2 linked regions of the Saccharomyces cerevisiae S288C genome follow. The protein of the gene in region 1 binds, or shares a complex with, the protein of each later gene. Each region holds a gene or a part of one and is shown in the gene's direction. Other genes may lie near its edges.

The links.
Region 2: the proteins of HAT1 (region 1) and HAT2 are in contact, whole or in part, in a crystal structure (PDB 4PSW), measured with the Saccharomyces cerevisiae proteins. Residues at the interface, in NP_015324.1 of Saccharomyces cerevisiae: Tyr196 (codon at 5,983), Trp197 (codon at 5,986), Tyr199 (codon at 5,992), Gly201 (codon at 5,998), Ala202 (codon at 6,001), Phe205 (codon at 6,010), Asp206 (codon at 6,013), Asp208 (codon at 6,019), Ile209 (codon at 6,022), Lys211 (codon at 6,028), Arg214 (codon at 6,037), Ile252 (codon at 6,151), Thr253 (codon at 6,154), Val254 (codon at 6,157), Asp256 (codon at 6,163), Pro257 (codon at 6,166), Arg265 (codon at 6,190), Glu303 (codon at 6,304), Arg305 (codon at 6,310); in NP_010858.3 of Saccharomyces cerevisiae: His262 (codon at 6,340), Ser263 (codon at 6,343), Ser264 (codon at 6,346), Asn265 (codon at 6,349), Leu266 (codon at 6,352), Leu278 (codon at 6,388), Asp280 (codon at 6,394), Arg282 (codon at 6,400), Pro287 (codon at 6,415), Leu288 (codon at 6,418), His289 (codon at 6,421), Asp308 (codon at 6,478), Gly309 (codon at 6,481), Leu325 (codon at 6,529), Lys326 (codon at 6,532), Gln327 (codon at 6,535), Ile328 (codon at 6,538), Gly329 (codon at 6,541), Ala330 (codon at 6,544), Glu331 (codon at 6,547), Gln332 (codon at 6,550), Thr333 (codon at 6,553), Pro334 (codon at 6,556), Ala337 (codon at 6,565).

The regions. Positions count from the first base shown.
Region 1 is NC_001148.4:549,208-558,601, forward strand, and holds HAT1 (histone acetyltransferase catalytic subunit HAT1), read left to right. Parts: upstream 1-5,397; coding exon 5,398-6,522; downstream 6,523-9,394. Other genes in the region: AEP3 (Aep3p), read left to right, coding at 1-1,099; lipid-binding protein LSP1, read right to left, coding at 1,425-2,450; ULA1 (Ula1p), read left to right, coding at 2,813-4,201; ESCRT-II subunit protein SNF8, read right to left, coding at 4,420-5,121; citrate (Si)-synthase CIT3, read left to right, coding at 7,170-8,630; PDH1 (putative 2-methylcitrate dehydratase), read left to right, coding at 9,178-9,394. UniProt on the Saccharomyces cerevisiae protein: Catalytic component of the histone acetylase B (HAT-B) complex. Acetylates 'Lys-12' of free histone H4 in the cytoplasm. The complex is also found in the nucleus, however it is not certain that it modifies histone H4 when packaged in chromatin.
Region 2 is NC_001137.3:41,612-50,799, forward strand, and holds HAT2 (Hat2p), read left to right. Parts: upstream 1-5,556; coding exon 5,557-6,762; downstream 6,763-9,188. Other genes in the region: PRB1 (proteinase B), read right to left, coding at 1-342; SOM1 (Som1p), read right to left, coding at 789-1,013; HHY1 (Hhy1p), read left to right, coding at 1,041-1,349; phosphoacetylglucosamine mutase PCM1, read left to right, coding at 1,641-3,314; SDD1 (Sdd1p), read right to left, coding at 3,409-4,110; POL5 (DNA-directed DNA polymerase), read right to left, coding at 6,860-9,188. UniProt on the Saccharomyces cerevisiae protein: Regulatory subunit of the histone acetylase B (HAT-B) complex. The complex acetylates 'Lys-12' of histone H4 which is required for telomeric silencing.

The DNA.
Region 1 (9,394 bases):
AGAAATATTTGCACAAATGAAGGCTGAGGGGACTAAACCAAATACAATCACTTTTAATCTTTTACTGCGTAATGTAGTGAAAAACTCGCATATTAGAAAAACGAAGCACCCTGACGATGAGGTCCTTTTTTATCTTAGAAGTATGCGTAATCATGGAGTTTTTGCAGATGTAATAACTTGGACGACATGTTATAACTTTCTTCGTGATGAAGTTTCGAGACAATTGTACATTGTTCAAATGGGTGAACATTTAGGAAATTTTAACGTAAATTTTGTTTATACTGTGCTAAGGAACGGAGATTATAGAGCAGAGGACTGTTTAAAAGTTTTAGCAGCAAATTCACTACCGATTTCCCGTAAGACGTTCTATCTGTGCATAGAACGACTACTAAACGAGGAACAACTTGAAACCGCATCTAAATTACTTGACTATGGTTTTCAGCACTTGAAAAGTAATTTTAAGTTGGACTCGGAGGCAATGAATCATTTCATGCGGGTATTTGCTAATAAGGGAAGAAGTGATTTGGCATTCCTTTGCTATAATACTTGTCGTAAGATTTACAAAATTAAACCTGATTCTCAGACGTTCGAAATGTTATTTAAAGCGTTAGTTAGGAATGGCAACACCAAGAATTTTGGGGCAGTCCTACAGTATATCAAAGACTTAAAGGTTAGTGAAGGATTTGGATTGCGGACAAGTTATTGGAGAACCAAAGCAGACTCAATTTTCAAATTTGGTAGTCCTAATACGCTATCAGAAAAGTCAATTGAAAAAGCAAGAAAATTGTTGGGCAACCTGATTGCTTCCGAGGGTGAGTTCTCTTGGAAAATTTGGAAAGAAAGTGATTCTTCACAAAAAAAAATACTACGTTTTTTGGGTTGTATCCCCACTACTTTACGCTGCACCAATACAGCACAAGATCATCAGAAGCCCACAAACCTACCCTCAAACATTTCCCAGAAAAAAAGAGAATATCGAAATCGGGTTAAAGCAATAGCCACAAAGGCTGCTTTGGAAAAAAGAATGGCGTATATCAAAGACAATGATGTAGCTTTCAAAAAAGAGCTAGTAAAGAGGAGAATAGTTGGGGAGGTTTGATGAGGGAGGCATAAGTGCCCTGGCATTTGGACAGGAATTTTATTAATATAGGCATTTTTATTGTACATATATACTTCATAGATCATATTCATTTAATTAGACTTCGAAAAGTTGAATCTCTTACGGCAAAGGAGAACAAGAGAAAGGTTAATTATTAGGTCTTATAAAATTTGTTCAATTAATTATAAAGGTGATTACAATACCGGAATATTGGCCGAACAATACTTGAACCAAATTCAGATGAAATTAATAATAGGTAGACACGAGCTGGTGAAAAACAAGCACAATATAGAAAGGTTCGAATATATTAATTATTAGAAAAAACTCAGATGTTTTCAGAACCGGAGGTATGACCGTTTTGACTAACATGATGATCGGCCTCATGGGCTTCATCATCTACAGGAACTTCAGTAGTCCATTCAACTTCCTCTTCTTCGACTACTTGACCGGGGATATCTCCATTTTGGATTTCAGGTTCTTCTTCTTCTTCACCATCTTCGTCTTCATAGACGTCATCAACGGTCTGATGAAATGAAAGAGTTGGTTTGACTGCAGCCATGTCTAGGGTCCAAGATTCCAAGGCCGATTCAGCATCCATAATAATTTGGCGAGAAGCTTCATAGCCATCGTACGCTGGTCTAGCTTCACCTGGAGTGACAGGAGAGTCATCTAGCAGCTCCAATAAGGCCTTTCCGTATCCAGCAATCAGGGCAAATTTTTCAGAAAGCTCTCTTAATGAATCAAACATATAACTATAAGCAGCCTTTAATTTTTCACGTGTGATATTCGATAATTGAGCCTCCGCAACCAAAGATTCAGCTTCGGCACGAACTAGTTCTTGCTCTAAAACTGGGATTTTTGTTGATTGAGGATCTTTATATTTCAAATGGGCAATTTCATCTGTGATCTTTTCCTTACGATCTCTCGAAGGTTGAACAGAGGCTTCAATGTTCCTAATTGATTTTAATGTGACTCTGTATTGATCATATTTATCGATGAACTGGTCCTGTAGTTCACCCAACTCATATATTAAGACGCCTAATTTGTCGGTTACGTCGGAAACATCATCATCATTGTCAGCACCCCATAGAGACAGTTGCTTTGCAGCTTCACGGCGTTCGCTGGCAACAACTTCCATAGCTCTAAGGACACCTTTTTCAGTCTTAACCAATTGAGATAATTTACGAGCCAACTCTGGCCCAAAGTTACCAGCCGCATTTTTTCTAAAACTAGACGCAATAGAGGCCTTTCCGAAGAACTTGGACTTCGTTGAGGATGGTGGTGGTGGAGGAGCTTGTAGCTCAGCAGCCGTTGGAGCTCTTTGATTTCTTAAAGAGTAAGTTCTGTGCATTCTTGTGTTGGAGCTTTGAAAGTTTAATCTTTCGTATACCAAATAAAGAGAATTTACGGTCAAGCATTGGAATTGAGGAAAGAGGTTAACTGATTTTTTTCTTTTCTATCTCACCTGTTTATATATTGCGATTTAGCCGTTGCATCTTCCCGGTTTTTCCGTCTTTTTTTTAAAGGGCCCCTTTTTATCCCCTCTAACGCCTTTCGCAATCCCCTTTTCACTCGGCTGCAACGAGCGGGGTTGTAAGAGCTAAGCTTTCTAGCCTAGCAATGAAATAGAAGGACAAGTCAGACGATTGACGTCAAAAAAATGAGTCGCCTCTCTTTCTTTCTTAGGCCAACTAGACAGCCGTAGATGAAAATATGGAAAGATATGATAGACAGCTGAGACTATGGGGAGCATTGGGCCAAGATAGTTTGAACCGGTCCCGTGTGTGCGTGGTAGGACCTGCTACACCTTTGCTGCAGGAAGTTTTTAAGAATCTGGTGCTTGCCGGAATATCATCTCTTACTTGGCTCAAAGTAGAGTGTGCAGTTCAATCGGGTTCTCTGTTTTTAGCAGAGCTTAAAAAAGATCTTGAGCCATTGGCTTCTAAACAGCTAGAATATGAGGAAAATGACCTTAGAAAGACGTTACAGCAACCTCAGTATGATTGGACCCGCTTCTCGGTGGTGATCTTGACTTGTATTGGTGAGCAAACTGCGATGCTCGATTTAAATGAGATTAGGCGGCAGAGAGGAACAAAGTTTCCGCCTGTTCTAAACACTTTCGTCTCTGGATTTTATGGATATATATATCTGGTACTCTCAGAAACACATTTTGTTTTGCAAGCACACCCAGATAGTAAGAAGTATGATTTACGGTTACAGAACCCTTGGCCTGAACTAATAAATTACGTAGATACATTTGACCTAAGTAAAATGGATACAGCCACGTTTTCTGGTATTCCATATACTGTTTTGCTCATGAAGTGTATTGCAAAACTTGAAAGGGATGGTAATAATGGGAGGATAACGATTGATCAGATGAAGAAAGTTTTAGACCAAATTTGCCTTCCTTTAGGGAATGATGTTATCTACGAACCCAATTATGTGGAAGCTAAACGCTATGCTTACTTGGCCTGCTCTCAAAATGATTGTTGTAAAGAACTGGAAGATCTGCTCCGAAATTTGGAAATATCAGATTATGGGAACGATTGGCATGATACTTATAACTACGAGATTCTCACACTATTATTGACTTTGAAAAATATTGCTAAAGAGAATGGGGAGCTCAGCTTTCAACCTTTAACGGGCACTCTCCCAGATATGGAGTCAACAACGGAAAATTATATCAGACTCAAGAAACTGTATGAAGTAAAAGCAAAGCTTGACAAGTCTCGTGTGGAGGAAAGTTTGGCTCGCAGTAAAAAAATAGTTTCACAGGATGTCTTGGAGACATTTTGTTCTCATTACGGGGAGGTCAGGAAAATATTGCCGCCAAAAAGTGACTTGTTAGGTATTTTTAGCACCTCGAATGCCCTTTTAGATGCATTAGTTATGGTCCAATTCTGGGAGCAACCGGCAGTAACTGCAGAGGATAAAGATGAGTTTATTGGTTTACGAGTCGACGATAACTATTCCGTAATGGCCTTTTTTGGAGGTGCAGTGGTTCAAGAGGCTATAAAGCTTATCACACACCATTACGTTCCTATTGATAACCTATTTTTATATAATGGCATTAATAATTCATCCGCAACATATAAAATATAAAATTTTTTCGTCAGCTCTCCGAGTTCATAGAATGCTTATTTTATTGTACTTCCCTGGTTTGCGTTGATGCAAATAAAGACTAAATGTAAACTTTTATGATGCATATGATATCGAATGTTTACAACAACGAGAGATCACCGGTAAGAACTGTGCTCAATAAAATACAACATCGATAAATACTTAACGCTCATCCACCATTCCTGTTCAAGTCAACTATCTCACAGTTGCCTCGTAATCCAAGAGGGATCCCAATACAACGCCTCTGCACCACCTTGATAATCAATCCACAATAAACCGTTAGCGACCATTTCATCAAGAGCAGATTTACTCCTAACAGCCTCCCATCCCAAGTTTGCCTTTAATAAAGAGATACTTGAGTAGCCCAGAATTGAGCATATTTCCAAAATCTTTGTTTGATCTGATGTCAACTCATTTGGAACACTTCGTAAAAACTTTTTGCCGCGAATTTGAAATATCTCAAAACACTCTAGGCTCTTTAGCATGTCGATAGATTTTTCCAAATCATCGAGTCCAACATTCAGCTTACGAAAATGCACCTTCTCCAACTCTTGAAAAGAAATGACGCCTCCATTCATATCTTTAGTTTGCCGACAAATTTCTATAACTTTAAGACATACTTCATAATAAAAATCATTCACTGTAAATAAGTGCTTATCTCGATCAAATAAAGATAGGGGATCAATCCCAATAGATGAGCACATATGCATGAATTTTGAGCGGAATTCAGGTGAAGCTTGAAGCTCGCTATTGTGTTTCTTGGCAAATTCTACCAGTCGTTCTTGGAATACCATTAATTGGTCCCTTAGTTCGACAGATTGCTTTTCAAGTATGGTTTTGTTTACGTCATTGTACTTTCCATCCTTCAACTCGTCAAAGGCTGCCAGTCCAAACTGTTTCATGTTAGTGAGTTTCGAAGTTGGCTGTTACGCCAAGCATTTTCAAGTCGTGGTAAAGTCTTTGGTCTACTGCATCGCCTCAAAAGGTTATAATATATCCCAGAATTGATGGATTAAGTTCTTGAAATAGCACACCGTTATAAGTGATAAATATATTGTCTTCGAATAACGAATTTATTAGATTTCTATGTATTTCTACTTGAAGTTAGGAATAGATCTTTCTGGAATTGTTTTCAGCAAAATTATGCTTAAGCTATAACTATAGTGAGAATCAAGAATATGTCTGCCAATGATTTCAAGCCTGAAACGTGGACTTCAAGCGCCAACGAAGCCTTAAGAGTTTCTATAGTTGGAGAAAACGCTGTTCAGTTTTCACCATTATTCACGTATCCAATTTACGGTGACTCCGAAAAGATCTACGGCTATAAGGATCTCATCATCCACCTAGCATTTGATTCAGTAACATTCAAGCCGTATGTTAACGTCAAGTATTCAGCAAAATTAGGAGACGACAATATTGTAGACGTGGAAAAAAAATTACTCTCATTTCTACCAAAGGATGATGTAATTGTTAGGGATGAAGCTAAATGGGTAGATTGCTTTGCAGAAGAACGAAAAACACATAATTTATCTGATGTTTTTGAAAAAGTATCAGAGTATTCGTTGAATGGGGAAGAATTTGTTGTATATAAATCGAGTTTGGTTGACGATTTTGCCAGGAGAATGCATCGTCGTGTTCAAATCTTTTCATTACTTTTTATCGAAGCCGCTAACTATATAGATGAGACTGACCCGAGTTGGCAAATCTATTGGTTGTTGAACAAGAAAACAAAAGAATTGATTGGTTTCGTCACTACTTACAAGTATTGGCACTACCTTGGAGCAAAATCTTTCGATGAGGATATAGATAAAAAATTCAGAGCCAAAATATCTCAATTTCTGATCTTTCCACCTTATCAAAATAAAGGCCACGGATCCTGTCTTTATGAGGCTATAATCCAATCTTGGCTAGAAGACAAAAGTATTACTGAAATTACTGTAGAGGATCCAAACGAAGCATTTGACGATCTTCGCGACAGGAATGATATTCAAAGACTGCGAAAACTTGGTTATGATGCTGTCTTTCAGAAGCACTCCGACCTTTCTGATGAGTTTTTGGAGTCAAGCCGAAAATCTTTAAAACTGGAAGAAAGACAGTTTAATCGTCTTGTGGAAATGCTTCTTCTTTTAAACAATTCTCCATCATTTGAATTAAAGGTAAAGAATAGGTTGTACATTAAAAATTATGATGCCCTAGATCAAACTGATCCAGAAAAGGCAAGAGAAGCTTTACAAAATTCATTTATTTTAGTCAAAGATGATTATAGGCGTATTATAGAGTCGATAAATAAATCTCAAGGTTAACTGTTTATTAAATATATAATAACATATTTATTTGTTTAACAAGCCTGAAATAAGAAATTCTTTTATAAATACATCATCGAGATGATCATCAAAGTGTCTCTATAGTTAATATAAGCTTATGCAAAGGTTGAAGCCGTTATGTTGTCGTAATTCTAAATTACAGGTTATATTAAAGAGATTATCTTGACTGATATAAAATTTCTTATCATGGTAGTGATCACAAATAGATCACATGATATATTTTTTATTTTTAATTTTTTTTAATTATAAAAATAATTTTTTTCTTTAAATTAAACAAAAATAAAAAATTGTTTTTTGTTGGTTAAGATTTCCGAAAATAGAAATATTATTCAGTTGAAAGACAAAAAAACATAAATATTTCTATGAGCAAACAATTTGAACAGAAAAATAAAATTGGGGAAGTGACACACCATGGTAGCGGTTCTAAAGCGAAATCGGCAAAGCGGCTAAATAGCAGTTTTGATGACTTACTCCACACTGAAAATGGATGACCTTAAATAGGAGATAAAGCTTTTTCATCCCTATGTATTTAAGATGACTGGCTTGTCAAGCATTCTAATCATAAAAAAAAGATCGTATTTGATCAAGAATTTATACATAGACGCCGCTAAATAATTGAATACAAAATGGTACAAAGGCTTCTACCGGGCGCACATATATGCAGAAGGTCCTTCAATTCGTCTGCAATTATAAAGTCTTCTGCATTGACTCTCAAGGAAGCATTAGAAAACGTGATACCTAAGAAAAGAGATGCTGTGAAGAAATTGAAGGCCTGTTATGGCAGCACGTTTGTCGGACCGATTACCATTTCATCAGTTCTAGGTGGGATGAGAGGTAATCAGTCAATGTTTTGGCAAGGAACATCATTAGATCCCGAACATGGCATTAAATTTCAAGGTTTAACGATTGAAGAATGTCAAAATAGATTACCTAATACAGGTATTGATGGCGATAATTTCCTGCCAGAATCAATGTTATGGCTGTTGATGACAGGTGGTGTGCCAACTTTCCAGCAAGCTGCTTCTTTCAGGAAAGAATTGGCTATTCGTGGAAGGAAATTGCCACATTATACAGAGAAAGTTTTGTCAAGTTTACCCAAAGATATGCACCCTATGACCCAACTTGCAATTGGTTTAGCATCAATGAACAAAGGATCCCTCTTTGCTACAAACTACCAAAAGGGCCTCATAGGAAAGATGGAATTTTGGAAAGATACTCTTGAAGATTCGCTAAATTTAATTGCTTCACTCCCGCTGCTGACTGGGAGAATTTATTCGAACATTACAAATGAGGGACACCCATTAGGTCAATATAGTGAGGAGGTGGATTGGTGTACAAACATATGTTCCCTGCTCGGCATGACAAATGGAACGAACTCTTCTAATACATGCAACCTTACTTCCCAGCAATCCCTGGACTTCATAAACTTGATGCGGTTATATACCGGTATACATGTAGACCATGAAGGTGGTAATGTTTCTGCTCACACCACCCACTTGGTTGGAAGTGCGTTGAGTGACCCGTATCTCAGCTATTCATCTGGAATAATGGGATTAGCGGGTCCTTTGCATGGGTTAGCAGCACAAGAAGTAGTAAGGTTTCTCATAGAGATGAACTCTAATATTTCCAGCATTGCACGAGAACAAGAAATCAAAGATTATCTTTGGAAAATTTTGAATTCAAACCGTGTGATCCCCGGTTATGGGCACGCAGTTTTGCGTAAACCGGATCCTCGATTTACAGCAATGCTTGAATTTGCGCAAAAGAGGCCTATTGAATTTGAGAACGACAAGAACGTTTTGTTGATGCAAAAATTGGCAGAAATAGCGCCTAAGGTTTTGTTGGAACACGGAAAGAGTAAGAATCCATTTCCCAATGTTGACTCTGCATCGGGGATTTTGTTTTATCATTATGGAATCAGGGAATTATTATTCTTTACCGTCATTTTTGGGTGTTCAAGGGCCATGGGACCCTTGACACAACTTGTTTGGGATCGCATTCTAGGTTTACCAATTGAAAGGCCCAAGAGTTTGAACTTGGAGGGTCTGGAAGCACTTACCAAAGCAAGCAATGTTAACAAGTTGTAACGCAGTTCCAATTTACAAGAATGCTTCGTTTGCTATTACAATATTGAAATATAAATAAAATTCCATACAGCATGTCTAATCATAGCTAATTTATACATATTCATCATGAAAACATATAGGGGAAAATATGGTCGGTTAACACACCTATCAAAAAATTATTCAGCAATTCCAATCTCGTTAGTAAAATATATTCTTATTTTTTTTTTTTTTCTCTGATTGTATTATTTCTGGAGTTTTGACTTATTTTTTTACCACATCGCGCTTTTCGTCCCCAATCTCTCTGATATATGATGCTGTCTATAGGTAGCCACTTCCCCGATGTCGGACCTCGGGCCGTTTACAAACTTTATTGAGATGACCTTATTTCTCCACATTCTAGTCATTCAACTTTTACCCTCATATGTTTACCTTCACTAATGTGAAAGCATGACCAAAGAAAGTGTATAAGGTATATAAATCTGCCATAATGTATGTATAACTTATTAGGACTTTCTCAAATAGTATTTTGGTATTTTCTACTGTTCTCTGATGATCGAGAGCAAACAGAATGTTTTTAGCCAAAAATCTAAAAAATAATAAAATCAAGGTATGCTTGCCTAAAAAGAAATTTGCTGCGCTGAGTACAGCGTCTATACAAACTAATGAAAGACCAAATCCAGATAAGGTTTTGAAGGACATCGCGAAATATGTCCATGAAACCCCATTAAAATCATCTTTGGCTCTAGATACAGCACGACTCTGTTTCCTTGATACTCTAGGCTGTG
Region 2 (9,188 bases), on another chromosome or scaffold:
ATTATCATCATCATTGGAACTTTCATGCTTAGGCTTCATGCCCTTTCCTCCCTCGTGGGCGCTCCCATGAGAGCCACTTGCACGTTTACCGTTGAATTCCGGAGACTCCTTGTCTTGGCCCTTGCGGCCCTTCTTATGGAACTTTCCATGTTCTTTATCTTCAGAGTCAGATGGCTCCTCATCATCGTCCTTAGTGAATTCCACTTTTCTGGGTCTCTCGTGGTGATCTTCCTTGTTAATCAGTTCGTGGTGGTCGGCGGCATTTTCAAGATTTGGGATGACCAAAGCAGCAGAGATGCTCCCTAGGGCACCGAGTGTAAATAGAGTATTTTCTAACTTCATCTTTGCTTGTTAGAATTAGGTTTAGTTTGTTTTTTTATTGGCGATGAAGCTAATTGGACTCTTAAGTTTGTATGGGAAGAACTCCAATATAACGGGACGTAACATTGGCCCCCTTTTATATTCATCGCGCTCTTTATCGCGGGTGTGTTTGCCCCCGCCACTCCCGCAGTCCTGGCGTGATAAGCCACTGCAGTGGCATTACTGAGCCCAAATTTTGCTTTTTCAACAAGTCACCTAAATTTCCAAAGCCGAAAGCCCTGCTACTCTGCTAACCCGGAGCGTTTAAAGTCCACGGACATTTCCCAGCCCTCGTTTTTTCTCCTCCCGGGACCCCGGGCATAAGTGCATAGTAGGCACAGACCTGATCTGTCGGGTGCAGTTTAAAAAAGTCTTGGCAAAATTTTTTATTTATCACACTACTGTGCTATATAGAGTATATGTAATTTTTAACTATTGGTATATGTGTCCGTGACCTCGTAGTTAGTGGCTGATTTGTCGGGTGCAATGCAGTGTTCAAAAAGCCTCTTAAAAGGCGAGCAGACGTATTCGGCTCCTTTGAATTGGCACTCCCATTGCACAAGCTCTTTCAGCCGGCAGTTGGTTTGTGAGTCAAGCGTTGCTAACGGTGCGAGCGCTTGGTCCCTAGTGCGGATGGTGGTTGGAGGCGCCATGAGGGTTGATTGTCTTATCTGCGATAGATGAGTCTTTCTTTCCTTCTCTTTTCCCCTTTTCTCCCCCCCTGTTTCTCGTCCATCTCTATCTGTCTATCTGTCTTATCTACTGTTAGTTTTTTTTTCGCTTTCACGATACCGCATTACGTACTGCGCTGCGGAAGTGTGGATGAGTGGCATATACACTCTTCTGCAGAGGATTTTCGTACACAACGGTGTGTGTGTGCTGTGAAGCTGTCTGCTTCCTTACTTGGCTGTTTGCTTGCTTGTGCGTCATGGTCACTTTTGTTAGAAGTGAGCCGCATAAAATGGCATGTCGGCACAGCCTACAGTTAAAAATTAAGCATATCTGACTGTTTATCTGTTTATCTGTTTATACACGGTGAACTGTCACGAGAACCCTTACTTGCACGATTAGCAGATTGTTCAGAGAGCCTCGCTCGTTGAAGTTCTTCTATATGCCAGCGTGTTTCATGTAGCAGGAAACGTTGCTCTATTTATATCTTTTCTGACATTTTGCGTCGTCGGGAAAAAAAAGATTAAGTAAGAACAAAAAACCGTTAATGGTTTCAGCAATCGAGACAAGTACAAGGACCAAGGCAAAGGTCAGCAGTAAGCTTAGAGACGATGAAGGTTGATTACGAGCAATTGTGCAAACTCTACGATGACACGTGCCGCACAAAGAATGTGCAGTTCAGTTACGGTACGGCCGGATTCAGAACGCTGGCCAAGAATTTGGATACGGTGATGTTCAGTACTGGTATACTGGCGGTTCTCAGGTCGCTGAAGCTTCAGGGTCAGTATGTGGGGGTGATGATCACGGCGTCGCACAACCCATACCAGGACAACGGGGTCAAGATCGTGGAACCAGACGGATCGATGCTTTTGGCCACATGGGAGCCATATGCCATGCAGTTGGCCAATGCGGCCTCTTTTGCCACTAATTTTGAAGAATTTCGTGTTGAGTTGGCCAAGCTGATTGAACACGAAAAGATTGATTTGAATACAACCGTCGTGCCTCACATCGTGGTTGGGAGAGACTCTAGGGAAAGTAGTCCATACTTGCTGCGCTGCTTGACTTCCTCCATGGCCAGCGTCTTCCACGCGCAAGTTTTGGACCTAGGCTGTGTCACTACGCCTCAATTGCATTACATTACTGATTTGTCCAACAGGCGGAAACTGGAAGGAGACACAGCGCCAGTTGCCACAGAACAGGACTACTATTCGTTCTTTATAGGAGCCTTCAACGAGCTCTTCGCCACGTATCAGCTGGAGAAGAGGCTGTCTGTCCCAAAATTGTTCATAGACACAGCCAATGGTATCGGTGGTCCACAGTTGAAAAAACTACTGGCCTCCGAAGATTGGGACGTGCCAGCGGAGCAAGTTGAGGTAATCAACGACAGGTCCGATGTTCCAGAACTGTTGAATTTTGAATGCGGTGCGGATTATGTGAAGACTAACCAGAGATTACCCAAGGGTCTTTCTCCATCCTCGTTTGATTCGCTATATTGCTCCTTTGATGGTGACGCAGACAGGGTTGTGTTCTACTATGTCGACTCAGGATCAAAATTTCATTTGTTGGATGGTGACAAAATTTCCACTTTGTTTGCAAAGTTCTTGTCTAAACAACTAGAATTGGCACACCTAGAACATTCTTTGAAGATTGGTGTTGTGCAAACTGCCTATGCAAACGGCAGTTCCACCGCTTACATAAAAAATACGTTGCACTGTCCCGTGTCTTGCACTAAGACAGGTGTTAAACACTTGCATCATGAAGCTGCCACTCAGTACGATATTGGCATTTATTTCGAAGCAAATGGACATGGTACGATTATATTCAGCGAAAAATTTCATCGAACTATCAAATCTGAATTATCCAAGTCCAAGTTAAATGGTGATACGTTAGCTTTGAGAACTTTGAAGTGTTTCTCTGAATTGATTAATCAGACCGTGGGAGATGCTATTTCAGACATGCTTGCTGTCCTTGCTACTTTGGCGATTTTGAAAATGTCGCCAATGGATTGGGATGAAGAGTATACTGATTTGCCCAACAAGCTGGTTAAGTGCATCGTTCCTGATAGGTCAATTTTCCAAACCACGGACCAGGAAAGAAAATTGCTCAATCCAGTGGGGTTGCAAGACAAGATAGATCTTGTGGTAGCCAAGTATCCCATGGGAAGAAGCTTTGTCAGAGCCAGTGGTACGGAGGATGCGGTGAGGGTTTATGCGGAATGTAAGGACTCCTCTAAGTTAGGTCAATTTTGTGACGAAGTGGTGGAGCACGTTAAGGCATCTGCTTGAAAGCATTATTCGATGTATAGTATAGCTATTTAGATATACAGAGAGATAAATGAAAGAGAAAAAATATTGGTATCAATCAACGTTTGTTACAGGCTTAGACTTTGGTTTGGTAATTGAAATTCATGGTAGTGGAAATAAACAAAATTTTCCTCTTCAATTTTTTTCGTCGTTTCGCTCTGCAATCGAAAATCAAATAATCTTCATAAAAGAAATCACTTTCAATAAATGAACTTCTCACTACCATAATGGATGATGTGGCCGATTCGAAAGCAATACGGTTGATTAACACGGAAACCCCGAGTGATAAGTCACCAAAAAAAATTCTCTTTACGATGAATGTTCCGAATTTGTTCTCCTCTTTACAGTTTTCGTTGGAAAGGTATTTATATGTAATTTCCTTCAGAATTCTCTTGTTTTCTATGTTGGCATTGTCGAGATGAACCTGTTTCAGTATGGCATTGGGAAAAAGTGTAGCTTGTAACTTTAAAACTTGATCATGCAGTGTTGCAGCTAAATTATCCAGAGTAAAAATTTCCTCTTTGGAGTAAATGCCTAGCAAGTTTTTCAGCTGACTACTCCAACCTCGCCTGGCCCTGTGCTTTCTACTTACACAATCTTTGTGATTTGGTGGTAAGGTTTTTGGAAAATGAGGAAGAGTATCTAGTTGTTGGGTAATGTTTCTTTCCAAGAATGATATTTTTTTCATTATGACGTCAATTTCTTTAGAATAAGCCGAGAACTGTACAGTTTTAAAACCCTTTCTGTTGTCATTCCTCTGAATCCCATCATTTGCCATTTAATTTTCAATTTAGTTACTAGTCAATTTTCTTTTTCGCCTTTTGTATTCCATAATATGAATATAAGCTTGGGCTTGCCGATTTTCTCCGCTTAATATTAAGCCTACGCATGATGTAGGTTACATTTTGAAGGGTTTCTTTTAACTTCCTTACTTATTTATATATGTATGAACCTACACAAGGCATTTTACCCTTATTTCTTCCCGCAACATTTGATAAAAAGTGGAAGACGTTTGTGATTGTTATTATCGCCCCAATTTTCTCCTTTTTTTCTTTTCCTTCAACGTCAATCAATTGCACATTCAGCCGATTGGCTTTCTTAGCGCAGGATAGGGTGTCGGGGATACCTGTGGGAAGTTAGTGACACTTTTTTTTCCACTCTCTTCATGGAATCCCCGGACGGCAGCCGCCCGTCCCAATTTTGGCAAAATTGACATCCTAACTGCACGAATTCTCATCGCGTATCAGAACTCTTGAGCCTTCAGTTTTACTACTCAATGCTCTGATTTATCTATATATACATAAATGAAAATAATACGTGCGCATTTATAAGACAAAAAGTTAGAATTCTGACCACGATTGCATGCTGTAGATAATTGTCGTGTTCATTCTCTCTTTAACGGCGCCTCAAGAAGAATATAAAATAATTGCTCTTGCAGTCTCAATGAGTCGGTATGTTCAAAGTGGTGCCCAACATTTACTAATATTGGACTGCGGTACAAAATCGGCGGCTAAACTGTCTACCGATAAAATACTCTTGATTTATAAGAATGAAAAAGAAAACAAAAAGGGATGACCCCTGAAAAAGTTTGTTTTCTTTACCCTTTTTTATGTTAAATTTTACATTTATTACCGTTTACGTCAATCGCAATATACAGGTGGGGCATTGTTATTTGATTTCATAATCTGGTGAGAACGTTATCACGCGGATTATTTAGTTTTTTTAAACCATGTGCGAAGAAATTCTCATATATTGTAGGCATTTCTGACTCAAACTTCTGCTGCTTAAAATAGCTGTTTTCACCTTTTTTTTCCTCTTGTTCTATTTGACATGCTCCCTTTCTTCCTCGGTCCTTTCAACCATTTCCATGCTCCTGTAGGCTCAGGAGCAGAGCGAGGAAAAAACTTCCCTACAGAAAGCTTTCATGTTTTTAACCGGTTTCCTTTCAGCTTTTTCTTTTGGAGTAATCTAGAAAGATTAGGTCATTTGTTCAGTCTATTTGATACTTGATGAGTAGCTCGTCTGTTCTGTTCAAAATAACAATTTGTGAGGTGTACGGATGTTTTCACTGGCATTCGTCGACATGACAAAGACAAACCTTGAAAATAATAATGGAGAATAACTAGAAAGACGTTACTATGCCTCTAATACTTCTGCCTCTCTTATCTCTCCTATCAATTGTGGTTAGCCTAGTAGTCACCAAATAGCAAATTACCAATCAACTATGGAAAACCAAGAGAAACCGCTTTCTGTAGACGAGGAGTACGATTTATGGAAATCCAATGTTCCATTAATGTATGACTTTGTTAGCGAGACACGTTTAACATGGCCATCTTTAACCGTCCAATGGCTCCCTACTCCTGTTCAAGAATTAGATGGTGGCTTTATTAAACAAGAATTAATCATCGGTACGCACACTTCTGGTGAAGAAGAAAACTATTTGAAATTCGCAGAAATTAATCTACCAAAGGAAATTCTTAGTAATGAAGACCCACAAGAAGAAGCAGGAGAGGAGTATCAGTCCTCTCTACCTGCTCCTAGGTCAAATATAAGGATTACCGCTAAATATGAGCACGAAGAAGAAATCACTAGAGCCCGATATATGCCTCAAGACCCTAATATTGTCGCCACAATAAATGGGCAAGGCACAGTTTTCCTCTATTCTCGCTCAGAAGGTCTTCAGTCAACACTAAAATTTCATAAGGATAACGGTTATGCTTTATCATTTAGCACTTTGGTCAAAGGGCGATTGCTTTCCGGCTCAGATGATCATACAGTCGCTCTCTGGGAAGTGGGGAGTGGCGGTGACCCTACAAAACCAGTACGAACTTGGAATGATTTACATTCTGATATTATTAATGATAATAAATGGCACAACTTCAATAAAGATCTATTCGGCACTGTTTCAGAAGATTCTCTCTTAAAAATAAATGACGTCAGGGCAAACAATACTACGATCGATACTGTGAAATGCCCGCAACCTTTCAACACATTAGCATTTAGTCATCATTCCTCAAACCTCCTTGCGGCCGCAGGTATGGACTCGTATGTTTATCTATATGATCTAAGAAACATGAAGGAACCATTACACCATATGTCGGGTCATGAAGATGCAGTGAACAATTTGGAATTTTCAACCCATGTTGACGGTGTAGTTGTATCCAGCGGGTCAGACAATAGATTGATGATGTGGGATTTGAAACAAATTGGAGCAGAACAAACACCTGATGACGCGGAAGACGGCGTTCCTGAATTGATCATGGTCCACGCAGGTCACAGAAGTTCAGTGAATGATTTTGATTTGAACCCTCAAATACCTTGGTTGGTAGCAAGTGCTGAAGAAGAAAATATTTTACAAGTTTGGAAGTGTTCCCATAGTCTACCCATCGTGGGAGGTCCACCAAAGGTGAACAAGGATATAATAAGCTAATATATAGTTTTTTTATTGTTTCTTTGGCGAAAAGGCGTAATTAAACAAAGATCAACATACATAATCCGATTTTGAGGAGTGATAAAATATACTTAGATTATTCCTTATCCATTACAGTTTGCTTTTTTGAAGATAGCCAATTGATGAAATCAATAAAAATGTTAGGTCCACATTTTCCTTTTTGCATCCACTCTTTGGTAGTTGCAGTATACAAGTCAATCAATTCGTCAAGCTTGTCGTTACCACCGATTTCAACGTATAACTTACTCAAAAACAGTGAGCTGGTTGAGCACATTGAATAAAACACTGCAGCATGCTGACCTGGCTTAGAAGTCAGCATCAGCTTGTGTGTTTTTTTCAACAAATCCATAAGCTCGATGTCTTTGTTCATGTCTTTGAATGCAGTTACTTTTATCTTGAATATTTTACCCTTCAACAATTTAGAAATTTTGTCGGCAAGTGGCCTATCAAGAGTTTCATTGACACATTTCAGCATTGGGATAATAAAATAAACGAGCTTGCTTAATGAGCCTCCTAAATTGTTGGAATGTTCACTTTTATTAGCAAGAGTCAATTTTTCACAATATTTGACGTAAACGGCTAACATGTCGACAACTCTATGCTTGAACGAGATAACGTTTTCCCTAGATTGTTTTACCTCAAATTTCCTCTGGTTTCCAGTAGATATGCTTGATAATGCTTCCTTACGACGTTTGAAAATTTCGGATAACTGATCATCTAATTCCATCATTTTTTCATCATCCATAGACTCCTCATCTTCATCGTCTCCACCGTCGTCAGAAAGCCCTTCGAGTTGGTCTAAGTCAACTTCCCCTTTATCATTAACTATGTTATCGGGTAAATTTAACGCCTTCACTAAGGCGCTAGTGGCCTCTTTATCAATATTCAAAATATCTTCATTTGCCTCGTCTTCTTCATCTTTTTCATCAGCATCATCGCTATCACTCTCACTTTCACTTTCACTTTCACTACCAGTTTTCGATTCGTCTTCACTGGCATCATTTTCTTCCTTAATTTCTTCAAATTCTTCTTCTCCTTCGAATAGCTGGGCAAAACCTTGCTTGTTTTCTCTCGCTTTTAAAATATCTAATAAAATTTGCAATTCTTCCAAACCAACTTCTTCAATAAACTGCTGCCAGATTATTAAACTCAATTTCCTGAGTAAGGCCTTCTTTTGGGCTAAAAGTGATAGTAAGATTTCAGTGATGCCTACCATTGAGTTATTCTCGTGTTTGGAAAATTCGCAAAGTTCTTCGATCACAGAAATAGAATCGGTGTCACCTGCATATAATTGTACTAAGCACATAGATAACAACGTGCTTAGACCCCAAGATTGAGCAGTTCTTGATCTGCAAACTTTACTCAAGCAAGATATAGCTTCGTTTTTTATATTTTCTAAATTTTCGTCCAGTGGATTGATTAAATCTCCTACATGAGAATTTTCAATGTCCAGTATTAACTTTAATGTCAGATATTGCCATGAGTTTATTTCAGGATCTTTGCAACGTATTTCTTTGTTTATTGTCAACTCTCCCAGGATGGAATAAAGTCTTTCCTTGGCTAATTCGTGTAGCTGTTCTAACTTCAGATCATCTGATGTATGTTTGAAGAAAGCCATATATACGATGGGTCTCAACACGGGCTTCATTATGTCCATGTCATTGATTTCGACTTTGTGTGCACGAACTATATGAAGGATGGAATCAAGAGCAAAAAGGGTATGAGATAAAACTCCCTTTTTATCTTGTAACTGTAGAAAAAACACATCGAGTAATTGGGCAAGAACAGTAGAAGGTAATTCTTTAATTGCAATAAGTTTGGAAACGGTGCCAGATTTTGTTAACTTATCAAAGTTTATGGAACCGTGAGGACCAAATAACATTGCATTTAAACAAGGTACTAGTCTGTTTGCAGAATCTTCTTCACAAGCCTTCACTATGGAGTCTAAAGTTAACTGGGAAATCTTATTTAAAACTCTTTGTGAATCTATTGATTGGTTGATCAATGTTCTCATAACGTTTTGGCTGAAGCAAAACCCGATGTACGAGCCAGGAACTGCCTTGAAAGCCGCGTCGATTATTAGAAAGCCTAAATATTTTCTTTCACTAGAAGCTTTCTCATTGAAAAATGATTCGTCCACGGCCATTTTCCAAAACTCTGGAAATTGAATTGAATTCTGAACCTTTTTATTGTTGGTTTTCTTCCTTTTCTTCGAAATATGACTAGTGTTCTCTAATTTTCCATTACCAAACAACGGTAGCAGAACACTCCAAACAAAATGCAGCCTAGGGTTCCAATTCGTGTTTTTTTGTTTTTTCGTCTCTTTTAAACCTCCATTGGCATCCGGAATTACAGAAGAGTTTCTCAATACTTTTGTTAAAAGGGGCAGATTTCCTCTTGCCAGA